Drosophila melanogaster: one gene and its partners. The protein of the gene in region 2 purifies or fractionates together with the protein of the main gene of each other region. This does not show direct contact. Each region holds a gene or a part of one and is shown on either strand. Other genes may lie near its edges.

Region 1 (8,381 bases), on a different chromosome or scaffold from region 2:
AATTGTGGTGATGTATGGTGAATTAATTTGCTTGTAACAAGTAATCTTCCTTGGCTTTCACCCAGAAAGTATACTGCCTGCAAAATACGCTCATAATAACTAACTGAATATACAAATATTTTTATGAAAAAACTATTTTTTAAAGCTATTGTAAAGCTAATACATCATATGTATATGCAGGCAGGAATAATTGAATCTTGAACCTTTTTTTGTGAACTGTATACGTAATAATATTGAAAGTTCGCAAAGCTGAACAAAATGTTTTATTATTCCAAATTCCTAGTCGGTATATTTTAAGTTTGGAGAGCCGAAAAACTGGCATCTACATACATAAATATGAGATAGTAAGGCATACATGGACATGTGTCGCGATTATGTCTATCTCTTCGGTTAATCACTAAAGTAAATGAAAATAGAAATGAATCCACAGAACTATCTATGGTACATATGTAGAGCTACTCAAACTCTGCTAATCCTCTCCTTCAAATCTCATAACGCTACCTCAAAAAAATGACCAATTTAATAGATATTATTTTTGTAGTCGGATAAGTATGAAAATTTATTTAACCGTATATTTTGTATTAGTACAAATGCGCTGTAGGAAAGTGTTATTGTGGGATATTCCCAATCATATTGTTCGCTTCTTATCTTTCTATTTGTTTCTCCTTTTGCTGTTTATTCGTCTCGCATTTGCTTTTGCTAGCAATTTCACAACATCGATCATCGAAATCAACTATTTAGGGTGGACCTAAAAAGCACAATTTAACGTAGTTCAGTCTACGTAAATATATATTCTAAACGCAGAACTTGAAATAGAGAGATTATTCAACATTCGGTTAGATTTGTTATTACTTAATTTGATCTTTAATTAGGAAATGGCAACACCCTTGACTCTGTTTTTGGGAATCACTCATGGTGTATTCACCATGATTAACGCCGGTCAATTATCCAATCCGGTTTTAGATTGCTCCAAAAATACCGATAATCGCATGTCGTCCAGCTGGAGAGCAATGCCAATCGCTGCCACCTGTGGCCGCTGCCGCCTTTCCCGCCCCAAGGTGAAAAACACGTGAACGGGTCGATCCGCTGAGTCACTTTTTGCAAACGCCGCGCTCCACTGGCTTTGAAAGTTTGATTTTTCGGATAACGCTGGCGGAGCTTTCGATGGCTTTTTCCAGCTGTTCCATGCCGTCAGACTCTCAAAAGCGTTCTAACAACCGCCACGAGCAGTCGCGATCTTCGGTTTCGGTTTATGGTGCCCAAATACTTGGATTCGTCTTATCGGTTCTACGTGCGCATCTCACGTAGCAGATAAGTGATTTTCGCACAGCTAAGACATCCTCAGCATAATGACAACTGCCGAATTGCAAGGTTCCTATGGAGGCCTCTACTTTGGCTTCTGCACACTGATCTCGCATGTGCTTCTGGCGGGGATCACCGTAGCCATTGTTTACAAGTGTCTGGTGCTCAAATTGGTGCACACCGCCGGACATGCCTTCTACTGCACAATCGGCGTAAGTATTTTGATTTCGGATATTAAAAGATTTAGAAACATATGTGAAAAAGTGAAAGTTTGAGGCCACGGTTAACAAATAATCTAATGGTTTCAAGGATATATATTTCTCGAGTGAGAGTTTTCTGTACCCGGAAGACCTAAATATAAACTGGTTTACTATCTCCTGAAATTTTTACCCGTCCTAAATCATTGTTCCATCTATCTTCTATTTCATTATAGTTTGTGTTTTTCATGGGCGAAGCATTGCTGGTCCGGAATAGCGCATATTTGGAGTCCTCGTTGGGTCCATTGAACCTCAACCGCCTGCACGCCGTCCTGGGGCTGTTGGCATTCCTGGTCGGAGCCGGCGGAATCGGAATCAAGACATGGCAGAAGCTGGAGCGCAAACGGGAAGACCCCAATGCCACCGTTCGTCACTTTAAGAGCAACCATGCTTTTTACGGTGTGTTCTCGTCGGTTCTTTTCCCAAATATAATGATAATTTATGCCTCCATCTTTCGCCCATCAGGTATAATCGGTTGTGCTCTTCTTCTGGGTAGCGTTCTGAGCGGTCTTCCGCTGTATTTCATCAACAGTGGCTTCGCCTTGAAAATGCTTCATCGATTTTTCGGATTGTCCGGATTCCTCGTTCTGATGGTATCTCAAATGTTCGGATATAACACGGGATTCGGTCGGCGACAGTGGAAGGCACACCACCAGAAGCTCTTCAAATTTTTCACATTTATTGCCACCATTACGACTGCAAATTACGAACTCCGGAGATTTGTGCGAGATGTTGCCGGCTTGGCGACAGACTATTTTATTGGATCAGATGCAGCAGAAGCTAGAGAAGATCTTTGAGGCTCTTTCGACAAGCGAGTAGTGTTCACACTGGAATATCAATACTACAGGAAACGAATCGAATTCCGAAACACAGTATTGTGGATTTGTGTATCACTCAAGAAATAATTCGAGTGCTTTGCGGATTTGAACTCTGAAAAACCAGAATCGATTTATACCATACGTATAAACACATTATCTAAGTGGAGGAGGCTTTTGTTGTCTGTCAATCGTACTCTACTAAACAAAACCATATCAGGTATAAAGCAGGCATTTTAAATCATTTTACTTTGTGCCTTTATTGCAATTTCACACATACATATATATACGATAACATTTTGTTGATTATTTAAAACATAACATATATCTATTTTCACATTTATTTTGGCTACGAGATAAATCTAGCACCACAGAAAAACTAAGCTACGTAGTAAACTGATACGATAAAGTAAAATCCCTTTTTCATTGGGTTCTATAGATATTGAAGATACATTGTAGATATATCGATATTGAATATGAATATTTAGTTGCGGTTCTGCGATACGTTCATTACGTCCAAGGCAGCTGAGATATTGCCCTGAACCGACTCTAGGAGCTGGGTTAGCCAGGCGCCCTCGTTGCTGAAACCCATGGCCATCATGGCATGGATCGATTTATTGATGCTTTCATCTAATTAGGAGACATAATTAATACAAAGCGATTAGTTATTTAATTCGGCACTTACCAGTGTGGTAGACGGGGACCGTGCGCTTGTCGTCGGGAGCTGCTGGGGAGGTGCCGACGCTATTGGTGGTCACCGATGTGGTCGAGGTCGATGTACTCACCGTATCAACTTGAGCAGTCTGGGTGTTGGCCGAAGCCTGCTCCACGCGAGCCTCCTCATTCATGTGCTGACGCAATAGTTCGCCCAGCTGACCAAAATCACGCACCGGCTCCTGAGGAGCAGCAGTGGGATTGGTTGTGTCCAGATTGATCAAGTTACTATTGTTTGCAGAGTATGCATTGTCAATAAGCTGCCACTCTGGATCCAAGCTGTCTGAACGGCGTCTTTCCTGCTCTGTTTCGGTGGTGGTTTCCGATGGCTTAGGATTCAGGGGCTCTGTCTCAAGCTGAGCATCAGGGATCGAACCAGAAATTGATGGAGTGGCCGACTGGTTAGCAGATGGGACATTAGACTGATTAGCCGATGGAGCGGCAGAGGGAACAGCTGACTGGTTGGCCGAGGATGCCCCCGACTGGCCACTGGATTGACCCTGCTCTTCTGGTTTCTTATTCTCAGCACTGGGAGTCGTTGAGGGCGCAAAAATTCCCGAATCACCGCCCTCAGTGGTATCGATAATCTTGGAAAACATTTCGCTGAAGTTATTAAGGATTTCGATGCCAGCACTCATGTACTCGGGTGGCACAATCTGCGAAATGTTATCCAGATTAATCACTGGAGTAGTTGGCTGAGTGGAACGTGGAGTCGTCACTGGATCTTCGGTTCTAGGGACACTTTGATCAGTGTTAACCTTCTTCGGCTCAGTTGGTTTGGCCTCGGATTCAGCTGCCTTTTCAGCGGTAACAGTGGGCTCAGCTTGTGGAGGACTTTCAGTTTGTTCTGCAGCCTTCGGTTTCTGCGGTTCGGCTGGTGCCGTGGCCGTTGTTGTGTTCAGCGGCAAGTTGGTCATCATCTCGACAAACTGAGTCAAGACTCCGGCATGGCGGCGGGCCTGACGCCGTTCACGGCGACTATCCCTTGCGGGTTCGCCAGCAGGATCTGCCTGGTTCGTCTCCTGAAACGGGCAATGTCCCCTGGAGCGCCGGCCACTGCGGCGTCCCAATCCTGGACCTGTGAACCAGGCATCGACCATACCGGGTCCATTGTTGGTCGGCATGCGTAGCATCAAGTGCTCAGGATGCTTGTGAGCCAACTCGCATTTCTGGCAAAGATCATAGTTGCTGCACTGAACGCACTTGTAGCGGAACCCAATCAAGGGAGCCAAGCCGCAGCCATCGCATTCAACGGCGTCGTGGATGGTGAAATTGCTCGGATCGTCGACAGAAGGAGCTTCAGCGTTGGCCGAAGAACCCTCTTGCTTGGTGGCCTTTGGCTCCTCTACGGGCGCCAGTGGAGCCACCTGAACGTGCATATTGCTCTCGCACTTGGCCAGGAAAATCTCATAGTCATTTTGGTTGACTATTTCGATTTCATCTTTATCAGCGTCTGCAAAAGTTAGAATAGGCAAAGGAAAATAAAATCAATTATGAATCAGTGAAGTTTTGTTATCAAAGGTGAATCACTGAGGGCTCTAGTTAGACAAATTAGCTACAGTTGTGGTTGTACCAGCACAACCCGTTTGATCTATGTAAATGTATATGAGTACATGTACACATACTTTACAAATTAAAAAGCGCGTTAGATGTATTTAAAATATATATGTATAATTCGAGAATTCAGAAATATGTAAAATCAAAAATGTTTTGTATGTGTGCCATTTATGAAACAGTGCATCTAATATGTTGACCACGTTTGTACCATAAAAATATATATGTACATATTTATCAGCTAATGTGTCAACACAATTTTGCCAATGATAAGCATTGAGCAGGAATACTATCTAGGTGAATCCCTGCTTTGTTGGGCAAAGTACGCAATAATTTGGGCTGGTTTTTAAGTAACGAGACTTAAAAGCTAAATGGTCAGCACTGCTCGGACGGATGCAGTTATGTATGGAAACGAATGTACTTATACCATGCACATATGTTGCAATCTTTGCGACTCGATTGCAATTGCGAATAACTGTTTGTATGTATAGCAAACATTCACTCTGCGGCATTTTCATTGTAAAACTCACCGATCCAGAAGGTCCTTACGTCGCATTTGGGTAACTGGCGCTCCTGGAAAAGATACAGCTCGATTTCGCGACGCAATATGGTGTAATTCTGGGAGGGCATCCGCAGGTATGCATTTATCTTTTTCTGGGGTCCAGCGCCCTGGTAGGTGATTTTCAACAGCTTCTCCGGCATTTTCGCAACGTATTCTGTAGTTTCGACAGACTTTTGAATATATGTATGTATATATATCGATGCTGACGCTTTTATTCTCGTTTAACTTGTTGCGGCGAATTTATGTGACGGATTCTATTAATTTGGAGCTCTCGACTACTGCGTAGTTTTTGTTCGGCCGTTCGATTGTGTATACAAGTGCAGCTGGGTGAGAGCAGGTATATATACTAGGCGAACTAGTTGCTGGAAGGTTCTTGAATGAGTGAGGCTCAAATTGTTGCAAATCACGGTGCTGCCTGCTGGGCTGCACTAGTTAATCTATCCCCAAAATTGTATTGTAATGCCAAAGCTGGTCTTTGGCAAAGATTAATAATACTTCGGTTATCGATAATGAAAATATTTTTACGCGGCTCTATCGAACTCACCACTTTTAGTATTTTTACATTCACATTTTGCTTTACATAAAATTTCGCCAGAATATCGATATTTTTACCCATTAAAACTTCACACATACATACGTCAGTTTCTTATCGATATCGAAATCAGCAAACCCGAAATATTGAAAACCTAATCTAAAGATGGTTTTGTTTTATGAAACTTGGCAATCTAGGTAATCTAAAATGATGCCTCTGCGTTCGTAATTTTCTTCGGAACTATAAAAATGGGAGGCAATAAAACGGTCAATCTGAACTGGGGTAATTGGAGGTTTTTCAAGATGTTTTGAATTCCGTCGTAATGCATTCCCTAGTAATATTGATAGGTATCAAACTGGAGAAGGTGAAGGGTGATATTTATATCTAAAACATATAAAGGATGGCGTCCTAATCATTCAATCCTTCAAAGGATTGAACTTCCAAATCGCGAGGTTCACGTGAACATTATTTCCGAATATACATATATATCTTGATATCACACGAAATTGCCTTCACGAATCTTTACTGAATGAGACTGGATTTATTCGCGGTCTTAAAAGCTTTGAAAACAATGTCCTCATGGAAATTAATCAATCGATGATGAAAATCAAAACAGAAAAAAAACAGAAATCAATTGTCCGGGATCTAAAGAAAATAGGAATGAAAAGCATATGATTTCGGAGTTCTCAAATCGGACGATCTGCAGATATCCACTATTGGATGCCGAGTCTTGCTTGCAAATTAGCTCCGCTTTCGAGGATTCATCTCCAGACTGAGCTTTCTATTGGATTCCCAGAAAATTTTAATTTTTTTTATAAAGATAGTTGACACACTAAGTTAAAATAAAAAAAAAAAAACATCGTATGTCATGCTTTTCAATATTTATATATTTTGAATGGAAAAGTGATGGATGTTTAAAATACCAAGTACTGTACAGTGATTTTGAACTTTTTAAATATTGTTCAGTGGAACAGCACCAATGGGATCAACGGAAATTTAAATTCGAAGAATGATTTTATTTGCTATGTATTTTCCAAGAACTTAGGACTAATTTCTTGTCATAGTATCTAAAGATATCATTTTAGGCCTTAGAACTTTTGAGCATCTTAAGCAATTGGAGCAGTTGAGTTGGAGATCTGAGCAAAAACCATCTTTTAATTAGTTTCTAAGCAGAATTACATATTAGTGCTGTACTAACCGGCTGGCAGTTTGAGAAGCTACAATTTGATGTTGTCTGCTTTCCAAATTAATCTGGGCTAGCTCAGGAATCTTAGTTACGCCCTCGGTGGAACCAGAGTCTGTGTCGGTCTCAGGATCCCTCTCGTACATCTGAGTTGAATCTGGATCCGGTGTAGATTGGCGCAACAACATTTCACCTGGCGTGGAATTAGTGTTATGTCGGCAATTCGATTCTATTACAGTAGTACTCACTCAAGTAGGACTCTGCCATGGAGTAGAGCAAGCTGGAGCTCATTTGAGGCGCCATTCCGATGACGACCCCATCCACTTTGAACTGATAGTTCTCCCCACCCTTTTGCCGTTGGTCGTATAGAATGTCCTCGCGCTGAAAACCATTCTCGGAATAGTCGTCGTATAAGACGTCCAGCAAGTCGCTGATCACGTTCCTCGAATTCCCTGGCCTAGTCTTGCCGCCAACGGGCTGGGCCAGAATTCTTCCAAGTGCCACAAGCAGCAGGGCGAACACAAACAGCCGGTTGGTGAACTTGCACATGATGTTGCCCAAGCGAAAAGACCGCAGGACCGATGTGCTCCAATGGCGTGCGTTGAATGATTCCAAGTTCTCGGCCGCTGTGAAGGCGAGCCCACCTGGACCACAACTGGAGACTGGAAGACCAAGAAAACCCGATTTATGGACACAGTTCAATGGCCGCCTCCAATCAGCCCAAAGACTTCCGCATTGCCAGGTTGCTGTGGGAATCTTTAGCTCCGCGCATTTCTAATGCTTCCCAGCAGCCACGTTCGAAGTCCGTTCCATTCGAGAGGAACTATCTGCCTTGTGTTCGATCTTCTCCGGCTCCTCATCTAACCCATTGTCGTTCGCAGATATCGCATTGAGTTTCAAGAAGAAACTTCTTTTTTTATTATTGTGATGAGTTATTTTCACTCATCTTGCGCCAATTTAAATTTGTTTAGTAACCCAATCTCTGTAAGCATGATTCCAAAAAAAGTTAACCCAATAACCTCAATTTGCCGCAAAAAGAAGTCCAAAATCTTTATGGCAGTGCTAATTGCCCCGCCTGCAATAGACACAGCTAGATCTCTTTCAGTTATCTAGTCTGGGTGCAGTTCTGGGCGCGGGTTCAATGACTTGGCCACAGGAAGGGGCTGGCAGCCACCTGCAAACTGGTTTCGCACATAAATCTCGCGTACATCGCAAACTATGGAGCACCTGGCCTTTGGCTCTGGACAGTAATTGCCGTTTTATGGCCCCAGGAAGGCTATCCAGACTCCAGCCTCATCCTTCAGCGCATCATTAAAGCCGAACTCGAACCGTTAGATCCAGTGCCCACTTCCGCCGTTGGAGCATCTACATAGAAGGTGATTTGCAATCTGAAGCTAACTATTAACAAAAAGTTATTAGCCATGTAATGGTGCTTAATGTTAGTCGCAAATAAATCATCTCC
Region 2 (7,855 bases):
ATGCTGGCCCGGATAACCGAGGTAGGCAACAGGTCGTACATCCTAGACGGATTCCCGCGCAATATAGCCCAGGCCGAGGCACTGGCTGCACGCGAGCAAATCGATGCCGTGATCACGCTGGACGTTCCACATAGTGTGATTATCGACCGGGTCAAGAATCGCTGGATCCATGCGCCCTCCGGCAGGGTGTACAATATTGGCTTCAAGAATCCCAAAGTGCCTGGCAAAGATGATGTGACGGGGGAGCCGCTGATGCAACGCGAAGATGATAAACCCCATGTGGTGGCCAAGCGACTGGAGCTCTACGATGAGGTGATGAGCCCGGTAATAGCCTGGTACGAAAAGAAGGGTCTGGTTGCCACTTTCAAGGGAAAACAGACAAAGGAGATCTGGCCGATGATGGAGCTTTTCCTCAACGACCGCATAAATGCGTAATGGAGCAACCCCGAAATTACATCCAATGTGCACAAACTAACGATAAACTGCTGTGTTCAATTAAGTGCATAATATATTTAGATATATATAAATGAATACGTATGAAATATGTATGTTTGTGGGCCGGTTAAGAGGAACAGGCGTATAATTAATGTAATTGCGAAGCCTTACACAGTAGCAGCTGTCATGTATTCCTTCTTCCACAGATATCATTCCCCTCATGAGCATGTCTTGCAGCTCCCCCCTTTTTTGTATAAACATATTTTTGTACTCGTATTCTGTGCTCTGATAATAAATCGCGTTTTTTATATATATAAATATATATATATATGCGCTGATAACAGCCGACTTTGACTTTTGGGCAGTTAACGGACAGCCGTCGATCTATTTTTAGGCAATGTCCACAAACCCTTGGCCCCATGCGTGAAGCCAACACTTTTAGCTTCACCTCATGACACCCAAATGCCCTTCATTTTATCGCGTAGCGCATTAATTTCTAAAAAATATGGGATAGTGTGGCGCTCCCGTTTAGTCTCGCGCTCTCTTACTCACACATGCACGGACCAGCTGCTGTTCTCACGCACACCTGTATAGTGGCAAATCACAACAGAGAGGCGCTTGTACAGTCAAGGGCGCCCAATTATGTCAGATTTAAAATTCTTTAAGTCATTTATAAAAAATTCAATAAACCACTTATTGTTTTAAAGGTATACTTCATAATAAAATGGAGATAGCTGTTTGCCTTTTAAACACTATACTTCGGAATATACCATTACTGGGAATCTTATTTCTGGATAATTAAAAAAAAAAACCTATATAAACCCCTTTGTGGCCACCACTGTGCTGCGAGCGCCCTCTCACCTCTCTCTCATTTAGACCCGACTTGCGCTTGGCCCAATATTACGGCTTTTTCGGCACGCCAACTGAGTGTGCCTCTCTTCGCACATGCCCCCACCGTCTACACTCCCCTCTCGCGCGATGCGTTTGGGTTGGCATTTCCTGAAACAAATGCCAGTACTCAAGAATCGTGAAGAACGAAAAGAAATTCAATTGCAATTGCAACGGGCGGCAATTGAAAGCTTATCGATGAATGAAAGGCGAGCGCCGAAGGCAATTAGAGGAATTTGCGAGCAAGAATCTCGAAATTGCGGTGAAGCGGAGGGGGAGGAAGCCCCATAAAATGGCCGCTGTGCTTTGTTAACTGATGGAGTTCTTTGTTTATGCGAATGGGGCCGCAACGAAAGTCCAGCTGACCATCGGGCGGACAATGGATTGCAAACCGCTGACAAAACAGAAAAAAGCACATTTCTATTTGTGGAGTACATGATGGGTTGTGCAGAAAACCATCTTTGTTAATATTAGATTACTATATCTAAGCTAAATCTTTTCGGTAATACGATCTATATGTACACATGTAAACAATACCCAGAATCATAAACTAAGAGCCTAACGTTAAATGTAGGGTTTTGAAACACTTTCTCTGCGTGTCTACAGCTGAGTCATGGATGATGCAAGCCGAGCTTTGAGATGTGCATTCCAGGAAGCGGCAAGTTATGCTCGACTGGCACTTACCGCGTATTTTGGTGCGCTTGTTGACGTTCATCCAGATCTCGCCGCGAATTATGTCGCCCGCAAAGTAAACCCGATCCGCGCTGTCCAGCGTGATTCGCAGCCGCTCGCTTTCCATTCCGCTGGCGTTGATGGTGATGACTCCTCCGGTTTGGCCACTTTCCTCACGCACTTATCCAAAAATAATTTCGTCATCAAAATGCCGCCACATACAAACGTACATGGATGCACTGCAGCACCACGGCCCGCACCACCCTAAAGTATATGCAGAATAGTAGCACCACCACACGCACTCGCCTCACGATTTACGATTTGATGTTACTACACACACCGCGCGGTGAGTGGGAGCTTTTTCGCGCTGATTGTGGCCAGTTCTTGGGGAATCTCGATATCCATCAATTCGCAATGGCCCACAAGTGTTGGTCGCACACCCCGGGCTAATTTAATTCGATTGCTGTCGTCCGCTGGCGGGTTGAATAATTAAATTTCTTATAAATTTACGAGATCCGTGAGTTACGCTTTTTTGTTGTAGCTGCAGCTCTCTTTCGATAACCGTGAGAGCGGCGGTCCGATAGCACGAACAGCTGTTGCGCGGTGCTGCCACCGGGCGCCTGGCCAGCTGAAGCGGTTAATTCGCAGACTTTTTAATCGGTATTTTCAAATGTGTCTAATTTAAAGTTTAAGTTCTAAACAGCGTTTCTTAAATGCACTGTTTTCAGTTGTAATGCAAGAGTTCAGAAATGCTTGGTAGTAATGGTCTTTTTTTATGGTTTGATGTTTGAAAAGAGAAGAAGAAACTCTCTGTTTGAATATCGCCAATAATTTAAGTTGATATATTTCACTACGAATAATAATTACCAAATATTTTACTGTATAGATAACAAAACGCTCAGCTTAGATGTCAGCGATGATTGAAGCATACATACATATTTTATTAAGATTAAACTTTAGTTGGCTTAGCAGCATAATGCTCCATATAGTATTTCGTGTGCTTCCCCGTTCTGTCCTTCGCTTCTTCTTCTTGTAACCTCTCGCGCACAAAAGTTTGCTTCTCGGTTCTTCGGTCTCACCAAAGACTTTTGAGAATTCAGTATTAAGCCAGAGCTGCTCGCGTTCGGAGCTTGCGAGCTGAGTCGCCGGAACCCTCGAATACATCGAATCCCTACCTCTTCCACCAACTATCAATAAAACAAACAAAGGAACTTGATAGCGCGATACCACCCGACACCGTCGCCAAGGAGCCAATTCTGGACAGGATGAGCAGCAAGGTGAACTTCGTCTTCGACAGCAATCCTTTGGGGCTCTATCAAGCCGGTCAGCTTATCTCCGGCACGGCGGAACTGATTACGGAGCGCCCCAAGACGATTCGATGTAAGTGACACCGACATGCGGAAGAAGACGCACTACATACATATGTATTCTAATGGACTCGAAACCATGACGTCATCCCCCTCCATCACCATTCAAATTCTGAATCCCATACCGTTTTACCATCCACTAATAAATAAATATCCACTTAATATTGTTGGTGCTTTGTTATCCGCTGGTTTAATGTTATTGTTGCCGGTAGATATGCTTGAAAGATGTGTATTGTATATACAAATGTACATATATGTATGTATACATAAAGTTTATATACAACACACATGTGGCCGCTTGGCTGGCTGGCGGATATCTGATAGCGGCGTAAAAACTAGTTTTGTTTTGAAATTGCGTACGCTGTTTGTATTATTAGATATTTGATTCAGTTACTGGTCAGCCCGTTCGTGCCAATACCTTTAAATTGTAGTGTATAGGTAGCATTTTGGGTCAATTAGGCGTAATTCATGCAGATATACATATATATATAAATTTATACAAATCCCATTAGCAAGCTAAGTGGACCCTAGCCATCGGTTCAAATTCAAATAATCAAATATTTCCTAGGGTATCAAATAGTCGAGCCTTAGCAGCGCTTTAATTTGATGGTGAACTTTATTAGGTAGCATTCGTTTTTTTTATGCTTCTGATTAAATTATTGTTAGTTCATTAACAAAGACAGTTGTTTGTAGCTGAGCAATTTTCCAATACAATTCTACATCCGAAACACACAAAAGGTCCAAGGTCAATGGCAATTAAACTAAATGCATAATTGAATTACATACCCGGCAGTACAGACAAATTAATCCAATTGCAGCGATCTTTATAACCATAAATGGATACGGCGAGACGCGTTGGCAGGAAAGCGAGGAGCGAGTGGGAGAGGATGGGAAGACGACCAAGTCCCTGGTGACCCACACCACCACCGAGGTCTACTACAGCACTGACCAGCCGGTTTACGGCCAGGCCGGTGGCTCGCAGCTGGAGTTGCCCACCGGCAAGTACGTCTTTCCCTTCCGGGCTACCATTCCGCCCAATGCACCCACCTCATTCAATGGTGCTCATGGTCAGATTAAGCACGAGGTTACCCTAACCATCGATCGCGCGGTTCGCTACAACAACACATTTAAGCAGTGCTTCACGGTGATCCTGCCACATGATCTTAATAGGCGGCTCGAGTATAAGGTATGTAGTCTTGGTTGTTCTTCCAAACTGAATAACCTTATGAAGCGCACTTCCCTTAGGAACCCCTCCAACGCTTGGAGTCGAAGAGCTTCTGGTGGGGCTCCATTTTCGGTGCCCACAAGCCGATGATCATGGACGTGAGCACCTCTTATTCTGCCTACGTCCCCGGCCAGAAGATTCATTTCCATCTGGTGTTGGACAACCAGTCGGATGTCCAATGTATGGACGTGAAGGTGCGTCTGATCAAGAACGTCTCATATAGAGCCAACTCATCGGGCGCAAAGGAGCAGTTGAAGGTAACCGAATCTCGGGTGGCGGACAAGCACTGCGGTGAGGTGCTGAAGCACAACAAGGCCAAGTTCGATGAGTTCCTCACGGTGCCGCCAACTACTCCATCCACGCAAAGCGAAAAGGATCCCATTCGAGTTAGCTACACATTGCGATTCATCGCCAAGACCTTCAAGCTGCACGGTGGTGGCGACTTGGTCATGGACTTTCCAATAACCATTGGCACAGTGCCGCTGCTGGGAAGTGCTGATGACAAGGGGCCCGGGGCGGAGAAGTCCCAGCCCAGTGGTGCCTCTCATCCAGGTGGGTTTTGCACTAAAGAAAGCATAATCGAAAGTGTTATTAATCGACGTTTCTCCGGCTTAGGCTCACCCAACTTTCAGGAGGACGTCAGCGATGAGCAATTCGAGTCCAACACCTTTAAGCCAAGATATCCCGTCTATCCATTTGATGGGAAGCCTGGAACCAATGGCTCAAACGGGGCAGCTAATTTTCCCAGTCTTTATCCCAAGGCAGAGGAGGCGCATCCTGCTACGCCTGTGAAATTCACACCAAATCCTGTGTCGCCAGCCGCACAAAAATCGCCACCATATACGACCAACACACCTGTTGCTTCTCCGCCAGGCGGTAATTTTGAGGTGCTTGGATTCAGTATACCACCAGACTATAAACCCACGCCTAGTGCTCCAGCCGCCTCTTCCACTGGCGGCATTGGGTGGAAATAGGGACCATAACTTAACCATTTTGTATTCTACACCTTAAGGCATTTTTAAATATACAAGAAAGCCCGCATAAGTGGCAACGCTGTGCATGTGACAGCTATATTAATATCGATAGTTAGTATCATTTTAATCCTAAATGGCCTTTTATTAACTCGAGTATAAACATAGTGATCTGGTTTCAGGAATTATGCTTACTATTAAAAAATATTTATGTTCCCAATTAAGAAAACCCTAAAACTGAATTTTAGCTTCTAGCTATTTTCTTACTATTGTTGTCAACCACGATAGCCGATAGTTGCCATCGCTGTTCGCTAAAAGCTCATCGCCAGCGGCTCGAACAGCTGATTCCGTGCACTTGGCGACGTAATTTAGTTTGTTTTGTTGTTGTTGCGTAGAGGTTTGAAGCAGCGCGTCTTGAATTCGGAAAACCAGTTTGTGGAAGTGGGAAGCGGCCAACTTGGACAGCGGCAGCAGGGGATTGACACAACTGCAACGGCATCTCAACGGCGGCGCTATTACAAGTCTGGCGAAAAGAAAGTTTTGACGCAATCCACGGGCCGCCGCCTGTAATGAAGAAGCGTCGGCGCCGCAGTCACTGCTGCACTCTGCCCGCGAACGGACGCATCTGCTCCAGGTGAGCTCAGATTGTAGTGCGCTGCTCTGGACATTCAGCAACATCATCATCATCACCATCGAGCGTGTTGCCAATGCCTTTGTCTCTTTATCTGAGCAGCAGCATCGGAATTTTGGGAACTGGACAACGGTCGCCGAGACATCGAACAACAAAAGCGGAAAAAAGTGAAATCGCTGATAAACCCGAATACCAACCGAGCTATTGTCAATCAATGAACGGCCGTTTGAACCTGGAGTCAACTTGGGAGCTCTGCGAATTGGCGGGCAATTGGCCATAACCGACCGAGATAATAGTGAAGTAATCGCAGAGACATACGCACGCTCCGTGGAGCATGATACTTGTAAGTCTCATCCTCAGATGAATTCCACTCCTACTATTTCCCAATTCCTGTCTACGCACTTGTACACAACAATTTGTCCATCGACTTTGATGAATGTGTGTAAACAAGTCGAAGTTTGCGCCCTGCCGCACCTCTAAAACGTTTTGAATGAAAGCTACAGGCAAGCTTTGCTAAGTCGGATTTTCGAAAACTCCATCTTTGATACCAGTAAAACCTAGCATATTTCATTTTTATCAAGAAACAATCTTAAGCTTTCTTTTTAACAGCATCTACCTTGAATTTCACAAGAGTCAAGTAAATTACAAGTAACCTTCAAAACAAATTCTTTATGATAATATATAAGCTATACCTATTAGATCCAGCCTCATAGAAGTTGCTAAGTCCGAGTTAATAGTTGCATCTACATAGTTCCGACTGTAATAACGTCTCCACCTGTCTGCGTTTCTTTATTTTCAGAAATGCCATTGAAAAGTTGGCAGTCGCAGCAATAAAAGTGAAATCCGCACGAGCAAACATACGCACACGAAAAGCAAAACCAAAGGTAGCTCCGACGCAGACATGGCGGTAACCACAGGCTCCACCAGTGAGGCGACCACAACCACAACTCCCGTTCCGCGACGCAAGCACAGTACGCGGGAGCAGCTGCATCAAATGCTGGCCGGTGGACTTTCGGCGGCCATTACGCGCTCCACCTGCCAGCCGCTGGACGTGCTAAAGATCCGCTTCCAGCTGCAGGTGGAGCCGCTGGGCAAGAACGCCGCCAAGGAGGGACCAGGAGCCCTTACCTCCAAATACACATCCATCGGACAGGCGGTGAAAACCATATACCGCGAGGAGGGAATGTTGGCCTTCTGGAAGGGACACAATCCTGCCCAAGTGCTGAGCATAATGTACGGCATTTGTCAGTTCTGGACGTACGAGCAGCTCAGCCTGATGGCCAAACAGACCAGCTATCTGGCGGATCATCAGCATCTATCGAACTTCCTGTGCGGCGCTGCGGCCGGAGGAGCAGCAGTGATCATATCCACGCCGCTGGACGTCATCCGCACTCGTCTGATTGCCCAGGACACCAGCAAGGGATACAGGAATGCAACAAGGGCTGTGTCGGCGATTGTCCGCCAGGAGGGACCTCGCGGCATGTACCGCGGTCTGTCCTCCGCCCTGCTGCAAATAACGCCGCTGATGGGCACCAACTTTATGGCTTACCGCCTGTTCAGCGACTGGGCGTGTGCCTTCTTGGAGGTGAGCGATCGCAGCCAATTGCCCACGTGGACGCTGCTGGGATTGGGCGCCTCCTCGGGCATGCTATCCAAGACGATCGTG
Region 3 (7,463 bases), on a different chromosome or scaffold from region 2:
CCAGATTCATGTTGCTGAGGACACCATAGAGCTATGTCACTGGACACTTGGTACCTGGACACTAGTTGCTCGTGGGCACCCGCCGCACCGCGTCCGCTCCACGAAGCGATCTTCGCCCGAACAAGGCTGTGTGTTATGATGGAGTGGGGGGGCGGGGGCAGTTAGTACTCTACGCCTGGCGCCGATCTTTCACCCCTTTCCCTGTAGATATTCTGTTCTTTGTTTTATTTACACACTTTTTTGACTGGCATTTCTGTCCCGAGATTCGATATCGATAACTCTTGCCTGCTCTGGCGATTGGCTTGACTAAGGACTAGCCAGATGTCTGGCTACAATTCGCCAGATTTCCGGCTACGCTAGCCTGCTATCGATAGCCTCGATAGGCACAGGAAAATGTTATCTTATTTGGAAGATTTGAAGGAAAACGAGGACCAGCTGCGGGATTCAGACTGCTGCGGCAATGGCTGCACCAACTGCATCCTCGACAACAAGCCACGGCCAAGCAAACGCGTCCTGCTGGCTGGCAAACGCAACGTGATCCTGAGCTACACGAAGTTCCGCCTGTTGCGGCGGGAAGCGCTGGGACCCAATGGACAGTTGCTGCTCCTGCACTTTGCTCATGCAGCAGAGGAGGGGGACGGCGATGGAGCGGTGGACACGGTGCTTGACATCCCGCCCGGCCACCATGTGATGCTGCGCGTCGGCTCCCTGCTGCGTCCGTATTCGCCCTATTGGAGCGACTTTGTGGCCAAAGAGTTCCGTATCCTGGTGAAGCTGCAGCCGGAGGGGCCAATGTCTCGGCACCTGCAAGCCGTACAGCCCGACGATCTGCTGGAATTCCGTGGTCCCATCGGGCAATACGTACACGAACCGCAGCCGGCCAAGTGCATCTATATTATCGCCCAGGGAGTTGCTATTGCACCCACTCTGCCGCTGGTTCGGCAGGTGCTGGACAACGAGGAGGATATGAGTCGCCTGTGGCATTTGGTGTGCGCTCACGACCTGCTGCATGTCTACTTCCGCGAGGAGATGCTCGAGTTCGCCCAGTTCTGGAACTACAGGAGCTGCCTCTACCTGCCGCATCAGCAGTGTGACTCCTCCGCTTGCCAGGAGGCGGGCCACTGTGCCCAGCAGTGCCCTCAGCTCCGGGACAATCTACGCTACAAGGAGACGGCAAAGGTGTCCCGATTAGATGCCACCGAACTGGCCACCCACCTCAATCCCGCGATTCCCGGACAGCGTGTCCTCATCGTGGCTGGAGATTCAAGTTTTCAAAAGAACATCGCCCAAATAGCAACACAATCATTGGACGTAGATCCGGCAAACATTTATATGTTGTAAATGCCGGGAAAAACTGTAGTTGCTTATAAATATTTGAATATTGTTAATGAATTTGTGATCGTACTGGTTATACCGAGGGTTTTATATTTTTTATACCCTAGATTCGTTGAAAAGTATGTAACAGACAGAAGATATACATATATTCTAGATCTGGATCAATAGCCGAGTTGTTCTGGCCATGTCCGTCTGTCCGTATGAACGTCGAGATCTTAGGTACTATAAATGCTAGAAGGCTATCACGCCCACTCTAACGCCCACAAACCGCACAAAACTGCCACGACCACACTTTTAATAAATGTGTTGATATTTTTTCACATTTTGATTAGTCTTCATTAATTTCTATCGACTTGCAAACAACGTTTTGCTACGTCCACTCGAACGCCCAAAACTGCCACGCCCACATTTTTGAAATATTTTTAAATTATTTTATAAGTCGTGTAAGTTTCTATCGATTTAAAAAAAACTTTGGCACGCCCACTCTAACGCCCTAAAACCGCCCAAACCTGCCGCGCCCACATTTTTGAAATTTTTTTTGGATATTTTTTAATAATTTTATTAGTCGTGTAAATTTCTATCGATTTACAATTTTTTTTTTGCCACACCCAGTCTAACGCCCTAAAGCGGCCATAACTGCCACGCCCACACTTTTGAACAATTTTTATTCCCCAATATCTATCGATATACCAGAAAAATTCAGAAATTTCGCGTTCGCATTCACACTAGCTGAGTAAAGGGTATCTGATAGTCGGGGAACTTGACTATAGCATTCTCTCTAGTTGGCATTTGAAACTTTTACATGTTTTCTATACTTCCAATTAAGCATTTGAGTGTACCGAAAATGGAATGTGTACTTCCATAAAGGAGGAGGAGTTCACTTCTTCATCATCAGTAATACAGGTAACTCCAACTACTTCTACTGTTTTGCCCACACTTGCTACTTTTAATTGGTTATAGGGCATCTATACTTATCGCTGCTAAATGAACATATGGTTTTGGCCATCCAGGTGGCTCTTCAATCCATTTCGCTGTCGGCAAATCATTTACTTTGTTAAAATCTGAGCATTGCAGTTGCAATTCTCATACCAAATGTATCGATCGGGATTTAATTGTCTTTAAAAAAGCCGACTGGTTTTCGCTGTAATTAATACAATTGAGCGTCTGGTTATTCACTGGATGAATCGAAAGGAAACATTATGAATCCAATTGCCATTAAACATTCTCTATGGTCATCTTTTTATTTGACCTCCTGTGTCCACAACATGGTTATGATTCCATTTGACTATTAGTGATCCAATCTAATTCAAGTCATACCAAGTGGATGATATTTTAGGAATCAACCCAATTGGTGTTCAGATTGGAATAATCTGAACACCAATTTGAACATACCCTGTACCTTGATTTTGAGAAACAAATGTGTTTGTGCCTTAACAATTCGTTATTTCGAAACATTCTTTACAAAATAATTTGAATTACTTACAAACAATAAAAAGGATAATTTTATTTTGAAGCAAACTTATTGTTACAAGACAAAAACGAAAAAAAAAATAAAGTAATTTAACTTAAATACTGTGAGTTGATTCAAGATCTTTTAACATTTTCTTCATGGATGGATAATGATAATGGATAAAGTCAATTTGGAGATCTGCTCCAGTTATATTATAAATCCTCGGGCTTCGGAGGTTTTTTCAGTCCTGTAGCTTCAGGCTCTTAATGTAGTCAATGAGTAGCTTGGGGTGCACATGTTTGATCTCCTGAACAGGCACGGCTTCCCCCCACTTGGATCCCTTCCAGGTGACAATGAAGTAGACCGTGTCACCAAGCATATAGCTGTACATAACATTCTCAATTGCTTTGCCGCGGACCAGGAGCGCATCCGTAGGCGGCACGTTCAACGGTTGGGACTCATTGGAATTGCCGCCATCGAGATTCCCTGACACGCTGCCACCGTTGGTTGCATCCAGTTCTGCCTGTTGTACCAACAACTCGACGAGCAGCCGAGCCAGCTCTGCCCGAGCCGAATTGTGAACTCCCATGTGCTTTGGAGGCGGCGTCGAACCGGCCTCCTTGGATTCATCCTTTGTCGGCTCTTCCTGCACTTCCTCCTGCTGATCGTTCTCCTTCTGCTGATCGTTCTCCTTCTGCTGATCGTTCTCCTTCTGCTTTTCCTCCTCCGCGGGGAAACCACCTGTGTTCTTGTTGTTGGGGCTGTTTTCTTTGTCCGCCATCGTTTAGCAATAAAGTTCTCTTGCAAAAGTAAACCAAATGAATTCACGTGCAATCGTTAAATGAAAAATGGCGGCAAGTTTCCGATTGCTGAAGCTGCCAGCTAGTGCGAATTGCATTTATTAAAAAAAAAAAAAAAATGAATAAGACATTAATATTTTCAAACTCTGGCAACGCCCTAGATTCAAATCATAGGTTGGTTTTCGGCCAAGCGTCCAGTGCGTCTAAAACTATGTTATCTGACTTTTCTGGCGATTGCTTAAGTTCCGGTGGCGGGCCCATCAAGTGGGCATATTTGGCCAGATACGGAGTAAGCAGCTCCATGGGCAGAGGAAAGATAATGGTGGAGTTCTTCTCGGCGGAGATGCTGCTCAGGGTTTGCAAGTAGCGCAGCTGTGATGACAGAAAAATTCGAATGGCTGGTAATCCGTGCTCAACGATTGATTTCAGCTTTTACTAGGACAACACCCACCTGCAAGGCCGATGGACTGGCGGAAATGACATCGGATGCCTCCTTGAGCGCTGTGGCGGACTTCTTCTCACCCTCGGCGGCGATCACCTTGGCACGAGCATCACGAGCTGCCTCCGCTTCGGCGGCCATGGCACGCTGCATGGAAACGGGCAGGGAGACATCCTTGCTGTCAGCGGGTGAAGTGCATACAACGTACAGATGTTAAGAAATACTGATCTGATCTGATGGATGTCAAATGCCTACTAAATGGCTACTTACATCTCAACGCGCTCCACCATGACGCCCCACGGCTCGGTGGCCTCGTCCAACGTGGCCTGCATATTGTGGGCCAGGGTTTCGCGCTCGGTTAGCAGTTCGGACAGGTTGCGAGTGCCGACGATATTTCGGAGCGTGGTGGCCGCCAGGAGGCGAGTGGACATGCTGTAGTCCTCGACCTGGATGACCGCATAAAGGGGATCACTGATGCGATAGTAGACAACGGCGTCCACAGTGACCGTCACGGAATCCTTCGTCAGCATCTCCTGCTGCGGCACATTGAAGGTAACCGTGCGCAGGTCCACCTTGCGGTACTCATCGATGCACGGCAGGATGAAGAACATGCCGGGACCACGAGCTCCGCCGCTCAGTCTGCCCAGCCGGAAGATGATCGCCCGCTCGTACTCCGCCACCACCTTGAAGCATATGAAGATGGCGATGGGCGATGTGATGATGAAGATCAGCACGGAGAACAGGGTGACCACCCATTCCATGCAGCCCTTGGGCTCGTTCTCCGCTGCAATGGGATGTTAGGAATATGAATATGAAATATTCATCTACAAAATGGCCATATTTCAGGCATATGTGTACAATAATTGTGCCGCAAGAGAAACGTAGATAAGTCCACTTCAATTCGATGGCCAAGATGAAGTACCTTCTTTGTCCGGATTCCGAAGAGACCAACTTATTATTAAGTAAAACAGGACTATGATGGACTATGTAACAACTTGAAAAAGAGAAAGCTGTGAAAAGCAATAGCCATCACAATCAAAAAAAAGAAAACACGGATAAACACCAATCAGCCCGCTTATCTTGGAGTCCAATAAAAATTCCTACGATTAAAAATATAGACAGGTGTAATATATATGCGCCAATACAATTAGAATGTTGTAGCAATTGACGATTATGTGGGATTACGATGGAAATCAAATTGCTACTAGTACTACTTTGATAAAGCGAGAGATAGTTTGTATTTTTAGAACTCCTATCTAGTGAATACTATTAACCGAATCAAGCGGTTTTGCATGTCTGAAATATTGTAGAATGCTTTGAGCCAAAAACAAACTTTTCACGCGATCAAAATGCTGTTGCAATCTTATCTGAACCAGCGATTCCAAGAAATCGTATCTCAATCGATCTAAAGTGATTAGCGCTTGACAGTAAGCAAAGACTTGTTTTTTTTTAACAATAATAATTCTCCTAATATTGGCCGGGATGGGTCATCATCTTGCTGCATCTATAGTATACACCGTTTCCGCCCGCTTACAAGTTTTGAATCCACGATACTGCTGCGTGGTGCCGGGCACTCGAAGTGCCGGCTCGGGTGCCATGCCGGCGGCGCCCATGTTGACCATGTACGCCGTGGAGCTGGCCGGCCCAGAGTTGCGCATATCTTCGTAGTTGGCGTACACGGGCGAATCCTGGTGCGGCTCCATTGCTGTTTCTCTGCTCCGTTCTGGCCTACGTTCGTTGCTCTCCGATCGGCTATGGATTCGAAACTGTCGCCAGCGGTCAGCGCCGCAAAAGCCAAACTGAATGCCCAAAAGCGTTCTCACGTGATAAGAGCGCACTGGTTCTCTCAGATACGAAGTATCGCATTGGCATTATCGCTACGCTGAGCTGCCGAGCGGCTTAAATGCGATTCAACAGTGAGAGAAAAGAAGCACTGCACTGAAACACCACGAACCAAGTGTGCCGCCACTGAAAGAGGCGATCTCTAGTCCGTACATCCTCCACAGCAATTGAGCACATGCCATATAAGAGAATGTAATGGAATGGAATGTAAATGCATCGGCTCGTAAATTTTCGTTCAGTGTAGTGTATCTACGACCGGGGAAACACCAAGAGCCGCTCTGTAAGTCGAGAGCCATGGGTCACCACGGATGATTCACTGCACTGCGCCGAAAGAATTGCCAACTGGAGGCGTACACTTTCAGATTATTCCGACCGACGATCAATGAAAGCCGAGTAAGCTCTATCTGGCCCAAGTGCGTTTAGCACTTTAATCAATCGGTTATCTCAGCTGGAGCATTGAGACGCAGTTCTGCTTTGGGGTCACGGGTCATTGGCTGGAGCCACCCGATGGTGACTCAATTCTGATCTGGCGGTCACATTAGCACTGAAGAGCTTATCTGCCACACTCGCTGAAGTGGCATGCAAATCTGAGTTATTTAGATAAGCGAAGAGCAAATATGTACATACATATATATATATCATATATAAATGTAAATTTTGTTGTTTCGAAAAAGGGGGAAGAACTGAAAAAAAAAATGTGTTTTCTGAATCATTTGGTTTATTTAAATGGTTAGCTTTTACCCTGGTTTGTAGTTAGCTATTGTTATTAATTCTTAAGATACAAACAAATAATATTGGTTATTTTAAATATAACGTCTCTACTTAAAACGACTGTGAATGAAGAAGGAAAAGCCTTGGAAAAGCCTCAGTTACTATTGCATACTAAATTCGACATATTAGAATAAATTCTAAAAAAAAAAAATTTATTTTTAAGTCCGAACCATGTTTGAATCTCTCCAGAATCTAGGGAATTCCATGGCACTTTCATTCGAATTCATTGGTGACTCATTTTCCGGATTTTCCGGACAGTTCCGCTTTCTGTCGCTGCTGCCGCCGTTCCACTAGAGCAAGAAACCCACGATGTCGTCATCGTCATCCGCCGCTCCCGCTGCAGCCGCTCCGCTTCGCTGTTGCTTCTGCTGACGCTGCAGCTCGCAGCGATGCAGTGCCTCCAGATATGGTTGCAGCACCGACATCGAGCGTCACTGGTGGTGTTGGTGCGGGTGTCGATGGAGTGGCGTGCCAGGAGCCGCAGGATGTTGTTGTTGTTGGTGCTGATGCTGCTGCTGTTGCTGTTGCAGCTGCTGCTGGTGTTGCAGTTGCAGCTGCTGCGAGTGTGCTTGGGTATTCAGGAAGGGCGTGAGCAGCTCCATGGGCAGCGGGAAGATGATGGTCGAATTCTTCTCGGTTGAAATGCTGCTCAGTGTTTGCAAGTATCGCAACTAAGTAGAGAAGAAGATGGAACGAATGAAACCATTTGGGCCAGTTCCAAATGTCCGATGGTTGGATTCAGATGGAAGAAGATGACTCACCTGCAGGGCGGATGGACTGGCCGAGATGATCTCGGAAGCCTCGCGCAGAGCCCTCGACGACTTCA
Region 4 (7,865 bases), on a different chromosome or scaffold from region 2:
TATGATTTGATGAGCCTGATAGATAGTATCTCAAGTTGACTACTCTTTCCGATTAAATTGTAAAGTTTTGGGTAATATTTTTGAAAAGAACTGTGAGGTTTGAGTACTTTCCCAGCTAATCTTGGCCCGAAAATCATTCAACAGCTGTTCACTCCACTGTGCGTCTGTCTGTCTGCCCATTAAATGAACGATAAAACATGCCGAATATATTTACATATATACCCCATCTATGTGATATGGTGGCCAGGGGCTGTGGGCTGTGGGCACTCGCATGAGGAGATAACGATATAAACGGCGGCGGAAGAGTCTCCGAAAAACAGTCGAGACTGGAGCGTCGCCGGGTTTACACGATCCGAGAGCTTTGCATCGCAGAAACAGAAGAAGAAGAAGGCATTGAAGTCCATATCCTATACCGAAGCTATCATGTTGAAGGCGGTGAGTGTGTGGTTCCAAGGGGCGGACCTAATCTAATCGCCGGTTCAGATATGAAAGTGGCTTCAATTTAATTTACTATCAATACCCATCGATTCACCTTGATTACTCCGGATGTTTGGCCCGCTGCAGATTATCGTTTTTGCCACTATCTTGGTGGCCGTGGCCATGGCCATGCAGCCACTGGAGGACAATGAGCGAACCCATCATCTGAACCACAAGCGCCAGTTGTCGCAACAGCACCACCACCACCACCAAAAGCTCCAGGAGGTGAGGCATTCGGGCCATGATAGTCTGAAACATGGTGGTTCCCACGTTAAGGAGCATCAAGCGCATCACTCTGAGCGAAAGGCCAGGCAGAGCCACAAGGAGCCGGGCCACAAGAAGAGTCACCACCAGAAGGAGCACCGCCAGCAGCAGGACAACCACACCCGCAAATCCCGATCGCATTCCAAGGGCAGCAAGCAGCATCACAAGCGGCACACGGGATCGCGTCGCCACTAGGATAATCCTGTATCCTGTGGCCAGGATATATTCTATTTAAACTCTAGCCAATGGATTCCTTATGCGAGGATTAAACTCCGAATACAGTAAACACTCGTATAATTGCATGTATGGCAACAGTAAAGCCAATCTATTTAAATGTTTACAAAACTACTGTGAAATATAAGCCATGACCAAATAAACACACATTTCATAAATGATATTAATATCCACAAGCAGCTTCAACTTTTAATAATTTGGAACACTTGATGTAGGAAATGCATTTAACTTGGATTTTAAGTTGAAAAACAGGTAGTATTTCAGAGAATTATGAGTTTTAAATAGTTTATGGCCGCAATAACTAACTTCTATAGTATGGTTTTCTTTTGAAATTTTACAAAGAGTTATATACTATATAAACTTCTGGCTGATATCCATTGTATAGACCAGCTTTCTTGTGACCCCGTTTATGGCCTGAAATTTGGCCATGTGGATCGTTAAAGATAGGTCCAACTAAAGGTTCAGATGTGTGTAATTACTCGACTTGGCCAACTCGGAATTTTGCTGGCCGGCTTATGTATGTTACGTTAGCCGCCTCAATTTCTTTGGAAGTTCAAAAAACAAAAAAGAAATCCGGTTTTGGACAATTGAAATTTGAAAATAATAAACCACACATGCGAGCGTAGTCGTACGTAAAGTGTTTTTTGTTTTTGTTTTGTTTTTATTGCAATAAAGCCGGTGTTAATTGTGCTCTGGGGTCAAAAACTGCCGCTGACGTCATCAACTCGTCGTTGCAAGACAGTGAAAGGGTTAAAATTTCAAAACTGGGGGGCTTGCTTGTATAACTTCTTTGGTCACTAGTGCGATTACATAGGATTTTGTGGATTAAGGAACGTATGTCCATATGTCTGAAACTTCTTGCTTAAGGAACGTTTTTCGGTCTGGCATCATAGTATTATCCCCAAACTGGGTAAATTCGGGGACGATAGAATCCGCCTCCGTAGGAGCGATATCCGCCGTAGCCGCCGTAACCGGAATATCCGCCGTACTTGTAGCCACCTCCATAGCCGCCGTAGTAAATTGGCGATGGAGCTGCATAGTAGCCGTAGCCAATGGAGTCCGCGGTGGAGAGATCAGCCTCCTCAGCGGGTTTCTTGTCCTGCCAAGCGAATGGATTTTGTTGGTTGGTTTTGAAATGGAAAAACTAAAGATATGACCTACCTCTATAGGAGCTGCGCTGATGAATCCGATAATAGCCAGGCACAAAAGGATGGAAAATAACTGAAAATGTTCACAACATTTACTCATTATGATAGAAACACTTTTTGTTTGTGTGTAATACCTTTGCCATTGTTGCTTTTATTTGCGAAATTTAACGGGGATGCACTCTAGATTTTATGTTTTTCTCTCAAATTAGCAACTTTTCCCGATCGTGTTCTGGCCAGAAGCGTTGTTGTCCGTAAACTGTGATCCCCAGCGACCTGCCGACAATATTTATAGTGGCCCAAAACGTCCCGGGGATCGATTTTGCACATGATCATTGATTGGACAAACATTCGGGAGTCTGGGGATGTCGTTACCCGATGCGAAATGAGGTGTTTCATTATCACAGATGACTCGATGGGATCTTCCAATTCGGTTATTTGAATTTCTAAGCTACAGTGAGCATTAGTTAATGGCCAAAGAAAAAGTTATTTAGTGTTTTATTTATTCGGTTTGTTGTTAGCTAAAGTCGACTGTGTGTTCTTATTTTTACCAGTCATCAACAATAATATTGACGCACTACACTAATTAAGTTCCTAATTATTAATATTAACACATTTGTTGACGAGCTGATTCATTGATTTAATTACAAGGATTTAGCCTTAATTAAAAATGCTAATGTCTCGATATTTTTTACTACTACAATACAAAGTAATTTAAGTGAATAAGGCTAATTAGTTTTAGTCGTCGCAGTTTTGGTGAATTTGTAATATATTCCCCAATAACACCGTTATTTAAATTTTCAAATTTGCTCGCACTTTGTGTGGTTATCTTGACTGCTTTTTACCACTAGACTGTTTAGCAATTCACCTAATCTCTCGATAGACGATAGATGTCTTATCGATTGAGTGATGTGACCGTTCTACTATTCTATAAATGGCTGCCGCATGAAAAAGTAAACCTCTCGTTTTGCGAACCGGAAAAATTGTGAATTGCGGCCAAAGAAAGGCAGAAAAAGTGCCAAATAGGCAGTACAGTTGCAAATTAACTGCCAGGTAAGATATTCAAACCAAGATTAGCTGGGGGAAAAGCGAAATTTACGCTTTTTCACAGCGTGGTGAAAATTGCAAAAGACCGCGACGTCGGCGGCGGCATTTCGATTTCTCCCCCTGAAACAAAACGTGTCTGTGTGTCGTAAAGTGTATGTTTTTCGTCGTTTATTGATTAGGATAAGTGCCGCGGAACGATGTCCATTCCGCCGTACATGATACCACAAAATGCGTGGGCAGCCCAGCTGATGGCCCAGCAGGCCTACGCGGCTGCCCATGCTCAGCAGGCTCAACTGCACGCCCAGCAGCAGATGGCCAACCAAATTCAGCAGATTCCGCCACCGGGGGCTCCGCTGCCGCCGGCCGGTGGCCATACCAACGGTATACCCATCCCGGTGGGAGGTCAGGGACCCGGATTGGGCCAGATTCCCACGCCCAAGCCGGACATACTCACCGAGGAGAAGCTGCAGGAGAAGGCGCTTAAATGGCAGCATCTGCAGTCCAAGCGATTCGCTGAGAAGCGCAAGTTTGGCTTCGTGGATACCCAGAAGGAGGATATGCCGCCGGAGCACATCAGGAAGATCATTCGCGATCACGGAGATATGACGTCGCGCAAGTATCGTCATGACAAGCGAGTATATCTCGGCGCCCTGAAGTACATGCCACATGCTGTGCTCAAGCTGCTAGAGAACATGCCAATGCCATGGGAGCAGATCCGGGATGTCCAGGTGCTGTACCACATCACTGGAGCCATTACCTTTGTCAATGAGATTCCCTGGGTTATTGAGCCCGTCTACATAGCACAATGGGGGTAAGTTGACTTTAACTTGTCCTCGTGGACACAACTGACGTTAAACACTTCCGCAGTACAATGTGGATCATGATGCGGCGTGAGAAACGCGATCGTCGCCACTTTAAGCGCATGAGATTCCCGCCATTTGACGATGAAGAGCCGCCTCTAGACTATGCCGACAACGTGCTGGACGTGGAGCCCTTGGAGGCCATTCAAATTGAGCTGGACAATGACGAAGACAATGCTGTATACAAATGGTTTTATGACCATCGTCCTCTAGTGGATACACAGTGAGTTTTGATTTGTCATTTATATCTGATCTTGTTTTGATTCATTTATTACCATCTAAGGTTTGTGAACGGCACTACCTACCGAAAGTGGAATCTTTCCCTGCCTCAGCTAGCCACGCTGTATCGATTGGCCAATCAATTGCTCACCGATCTAGTCGACAATAACTTCTTTTATTTGTTTGACCCAAAAAGTTTCTTCACCGCCAAGGCTCTTAATATGGCCATTCCAGGAGGACCTAAGTTTGAACCCCTCATTAAGGACCACAATGTTGGGTAAGACAATGCATACCCTAAATACTTGTTAAAATGTAATTCCTGCTTTTATTTAATTTTAGGGACGAGGATTGGAACGAGTTCAATGACATTAACAAAGTCATTATCCGGCAGCCAATTCGCACGGAATACCGCATTGCCTTTCCTTACTTGTACAACAATATGCCACACTTTGTGCATTTGAGCTGGTAAGAGTCCACATTCTTCAAAAATTACCATTCTAAAATCTTATTTACGTGGTTAGAAACGTTTCCAAGTGATCAGCCTCTCTGGAAATGCTTCATGCCGCGTTAGAAAAACGACGAGCTCCCAGGTTACTGCCAAATTTGCGATAAAACGGGAGCTGCAATGAATATGTTCGTGGCGATTGTTAAGAATTAATCGTGACTGCTGATAGTTGCATACATATAAACTCATTTGTAGCTTAGAGGATCCACATGACCACATGATGTACTTTGTCTATTTCAGGTATCACACTCCCAACGTGGTCTACATCAAGACCGAAGATCCCGATCTGCCTGCATTTTACTTTGATCCGCTCATCAATCCCATATCCCATCGCAATGCAAACTCGAAGATTCAGGAGCCCCTACCTGATGACGACGAGGACTTTACTCTTCCGGACGACGTGCAGCCGTTCCTGCAGGACACTCCCCTGTACACTGACAACACTGCAAACGGAATCGCCTTGCTGTGGGCACCCCGCCCCTTTAACATGCGCTCTGGTCGCTCCCGTCGTGCCATCGATGTGCCGCTGGTCAAGTGCTGGTACAAGGAGCATTGTCCACCTGGCCATCCGGTTAAGGTGCGCGTTAGCTACCAGAAACTGCTCAAATACTATGTGCTCAATGCCCTAAAACACCGCAAACCAAAGCCACAAAAGAAACGGTGAGTTTTATTTAAATCAAACTATAGAAACGTTTTGAATTGTATCCTTACTTTGCAGCTACCTCTTCCGTTCGTTTAAGGCCACAAAATTCTTCCAGACCACAACTCTGGATTGGGTTGAGGCTGGACTGCAAGTTTGTCGTCAGGGATATAACATGTTGAATCTATTGATTCACCGAAAAAATCTTAACTACTTGCATTTAGATTACAATTTCAACTTGAAGCCCGTTAAAACTCTGACCACCAAGGAGCGTAAGAAGTCGCGATTCGGAAATGGTAAGCAGTTAAATTTCTAAAAATTTCCCTTTTATCAATTCCTTTCATTCCTATTAGCTTTCCATTTGTGCCGTGAGATCCTGCGTCTGACCAAGCTAATCATTGACTCTCATGTTCAGTATCGGCTAAACAATGTGGACGCCTTTCAGTTGGCTGACGGACTGCAGTACATATTCGCCCATGTTGGCCAGCTGACTGGCATGTATCGCTATAAATACAAGCTGATGAGGCAGATTCGAATGTGTAAGGATCTGAAACATTTGATATACTATCGCTTCAACACGGGGCCCGTGGGCAAGGGACCCGGATGTGGCTTTTGGGCACCTGGATGGCGAGTCTGGCTGTTCTTTATGCGCGGCATCACTCCGCTACTGGAACGCTGGCTGGGCAATCTATTGTCGCGTCAGTTCGAGGGTCGTCACTCCAAGGGTGTGGCCAAGACGGTGACTAAGCAGCGTGTTGAGTCCCACTTTGATCTGGAGTTGCGTGCCTCCGTGATGCACGATATTGTGGACATGATGCCCGAGGGCATCAAGCAGAACAAAGCTCGTACCATTTTGCAGCATTTATCGGAGGCATGGCGTTGCTGGAAAGCGAACATTCCGTGGAAGGTGCCTGGTCTACCCATTCCCATTGAGAATATGATCCTGCGTTACGTGAAAATGAAAGCCGACTGGTGGACAAACACGGCTCACTATAATCGGGAACGTATACGACGTGGAGCAACCGTCGATAAGACGGTGTGCAAGAAGAATCTGGGGCGACTAACGCGACTCTATCTGAAGGCGGAGCAGGAGAGGCAGCACAACTACTTAAAGGACGGTCCGTACATATCACCGGAGGAGGCTGTGGCTATTTACACAACCACGGTCCATTGGCTGGAATCACGTCGCTTTGCGCCCATTCCCTTCCCACCACTTTCATACAAACACGATACCAAGCTGCTAATATTGGCCCTTGAGAGGCTAAAAGAGGCGTATAGCGTTAAGTCCAGGCTGAATCAAAGTCAGCGTGAGGAGCTGGGCCTCATCGAACAGGCCTACGATAATCCTCACGAGGCGTTGTCCCGCATCAAGCGTCATCTGCTCACGCAGCGAGCCTTCAAGGAGGTTAGTTATCACTATTTCTATCTGTATTTGAAATAACTTTAAGACTTGTATTACTATCTTAGGTGGGCATTGAGTTCATGGACTTGTACAGCCATCTGATTCCAGTCTACGAAGTGGAACCCCTGGAAAAGATTACAGACGCATATTTGGATCAGTATCTGTGGTATGAGGCTGACAAGCGTCGATTGTTCCCGCCATGGATCAAGCCCAGCGACACGGAGCCGCCACCATTGTTGGCCTACAAGTGGTGTCAAGGTATAAAGTTGGAACTGGTTTCAAAAGAACATAGTTGACGGCGGTACCGGGCATTTTGGGTGTGTGATTTGTAGCAAAGTGATATGTATTTGATCATCCCCTTGTTGCAAACCTCACGCCAAAGATGATCTGCGAAATACACAGTGGTATGGAAAAAAAAGGAATATAGAACCCCTTTGATACTATCTCTGGCTTAGCTTATTCGTATTTTTCTCCTCAACAGGCATTAACAATCTGCAGGATGTTTGGGATGTGGGTGAGGGCGAGTGCAATGTGCTGCTGGAGTCTAGATTTGAAAAGCTGTACGAGAAAATTGACTTGACGCTGCTTAATCGTTTGCTCCGCCTGATTGTCGATCATAATATCGCCGATTACATGACGGCCAAGAACAACGTTGTGATCAACTACAAGGACATGAACCACACGAACAGCTACGGCATCATTCGCGGTCTGCAGTTCTCATCGTTCATCACACAGTACTATGGACTGGTGCTAGATCTCTTGGTTTTGGGTCTTCATCGATCCAGCGAGATGGCTGGCCCACCCCAAATGCCGAACGATTTCCTCACGTTCCAGGACACAGTCACAGAAACGGCACATCCTATTCGATTGTACTGCCGCTATGTCGATCGTATTCACTTGTTCTTCAGATTCTCAGCGGAGGAGGCTCGCGATCTGATCCAGCGCTATCTTACCGAGCATCCGGATCCGAACAACGAAAACATTGTGGGCTACAATAACAAGAAGTGCTGGCCACGCGACGCTCGTATGCGTTTAATGAAGCACGATGTTAACTTGTAAGTCTCCATTTACT

The links.
Region 1: the proteins of CG14696 (region 2) and ref(2)P purify together in Drosophila melanogaster (affinity purification with mass spectrometry, with the first as the bait; one large-scale study listed by BioGRID). This does not show direct contact.
Region 3: the proteins of CG14696 (region 2) and Mec2 purify together in Drosophila melanogaster (affinity purification with mass spectrometry, with the first as the bait; one large-scale study listed by BioGRID). This does not show direct contact.
Region 4: the proteins of CG14696 (region 2) and Prp8 purify together in Drosophila melanogaster (affinity purification with mass spectrometry, with the first as the bait; one large-scale study listed by BioGRID). This does not show direct contact.

What each region holds. Positions count from the first base shown.
Region 1 is NT_033779.5:19,539,780-19,548,160, reverse strand, and holds ref(2)P (refractory to sigma P), read right to left. Parts: upstream 5,694-8,381; 5' UTR 5,345-5,693; coding exon 5,173-5,344; intron 4,542-5,172; coding exon 3,060-4,541; intron 3,005-3,059; coding exon 2,859-3,004; 3' UTR 2,613-2,858; downstream 1-2,612. Other genes in the region: CG10337 (uncharacterized protein), read left to right, coding at 1,350-1,514, 1,736-1,958, 2,025-2,356; CG13081 (uncharacterized protein), read right to left, coding at 6,818-6,872, 6,935-7,112, 7,168-7,468.
Region 2 is NT_033777.3:10,880,240-10,888,094, reverse strand, and holds CG14696 (uncharacterized protein), read left to right. Parts: upstream 1-3,093; 5' UTR 3,094-3,260; coding exon 3,261-3,375; intron 3,376-4,180; coding exon 4,181-4,548; intron 4,549-4,607; coding exon 4,608-5,139; intron 5,140-5,202; coding exon 5,203-5,561; 3' UTR 5,562-5,662; downstream 5,663-7,855. Other genes in the region: Ak3 (adenylate kinase 3), read left to right, coding at 1-435; leash, read right to left, coding at 2,008-2,122; Tpc1 (thiamine pyrophosphate carrier protein 1), read left to right, coding at 7,091-7,855.
Region 3 is NC_004354.4:19,186,379-19,193,841, reverse strand, and holds Mec2 (Mec2), read right to left. Parts: upstream 5,808-7,463; 5' UTR 5,728-5,807; coding exon 5,559-5,727; intron 4,809-5,558; coding exon 4,295-4,808; intron 4,203-4,294; coding exon 4,037-4,202; intron 3,958-4,036; coding exon 3,754-3,957; 3' UTR 3,649-3,753; downstream 1-3,648. Other genes in the region: CG14194 (uncharacterized protein), read right to left, coding at 1-10; CG7914 (uncharacterized protein), read left to right, coding at 394-1,341; HP1D3csd (heterochromatin protein 1D3 chromoshadow domain), read right to left, coding at 3,027-3,566; CG33253 (uncharacterized protein), read right to left, coding at 7,069-7,308, 7,399-7,463.
Region 4 is NT_033778.4:12,158,193-12,166,057, reverse strand, and holds the start of Prp8 (pre-mRNA processing factor 8), read left to right. Parts: upstream 1-3,059; 5' UTR 3,060-3,173; intron 3,174-3,346; 5' UTR 3,347-3,364; coding exon 3,365-3,978; intron 3,979-4,034; coding exon 4,035-4,250; intron 4,251-4,310; coding exon 4,311-4,523; intron 4,524-4,585; coding exon 4,586-4,711; intron 4,712-4,754; exon of another isoform or gene 4,755-4,932; intron 4,933-4,991; coding exon 4,992-5,411; intron 5,412-5,469; coding exon 5,470-5,687; intron 5,688-5,744; coding exon 5,745-6,796; intron 6,797-6,858; coding exon 6,859-7,051; intron 7,052-7,087; exon of another isoform or gene 7,088-7,186; intron 7,187-7,274; coding exon 7,275-7,848; intron 7,849-7,865. Other genes in the region: CG34232 (uncharacterized protein), read left to right, coding at 547-936; CG13177 (uncharacterized protein), read right to left, coding at 1,871-2,074, 2,137-2,196, 2,258-2,266.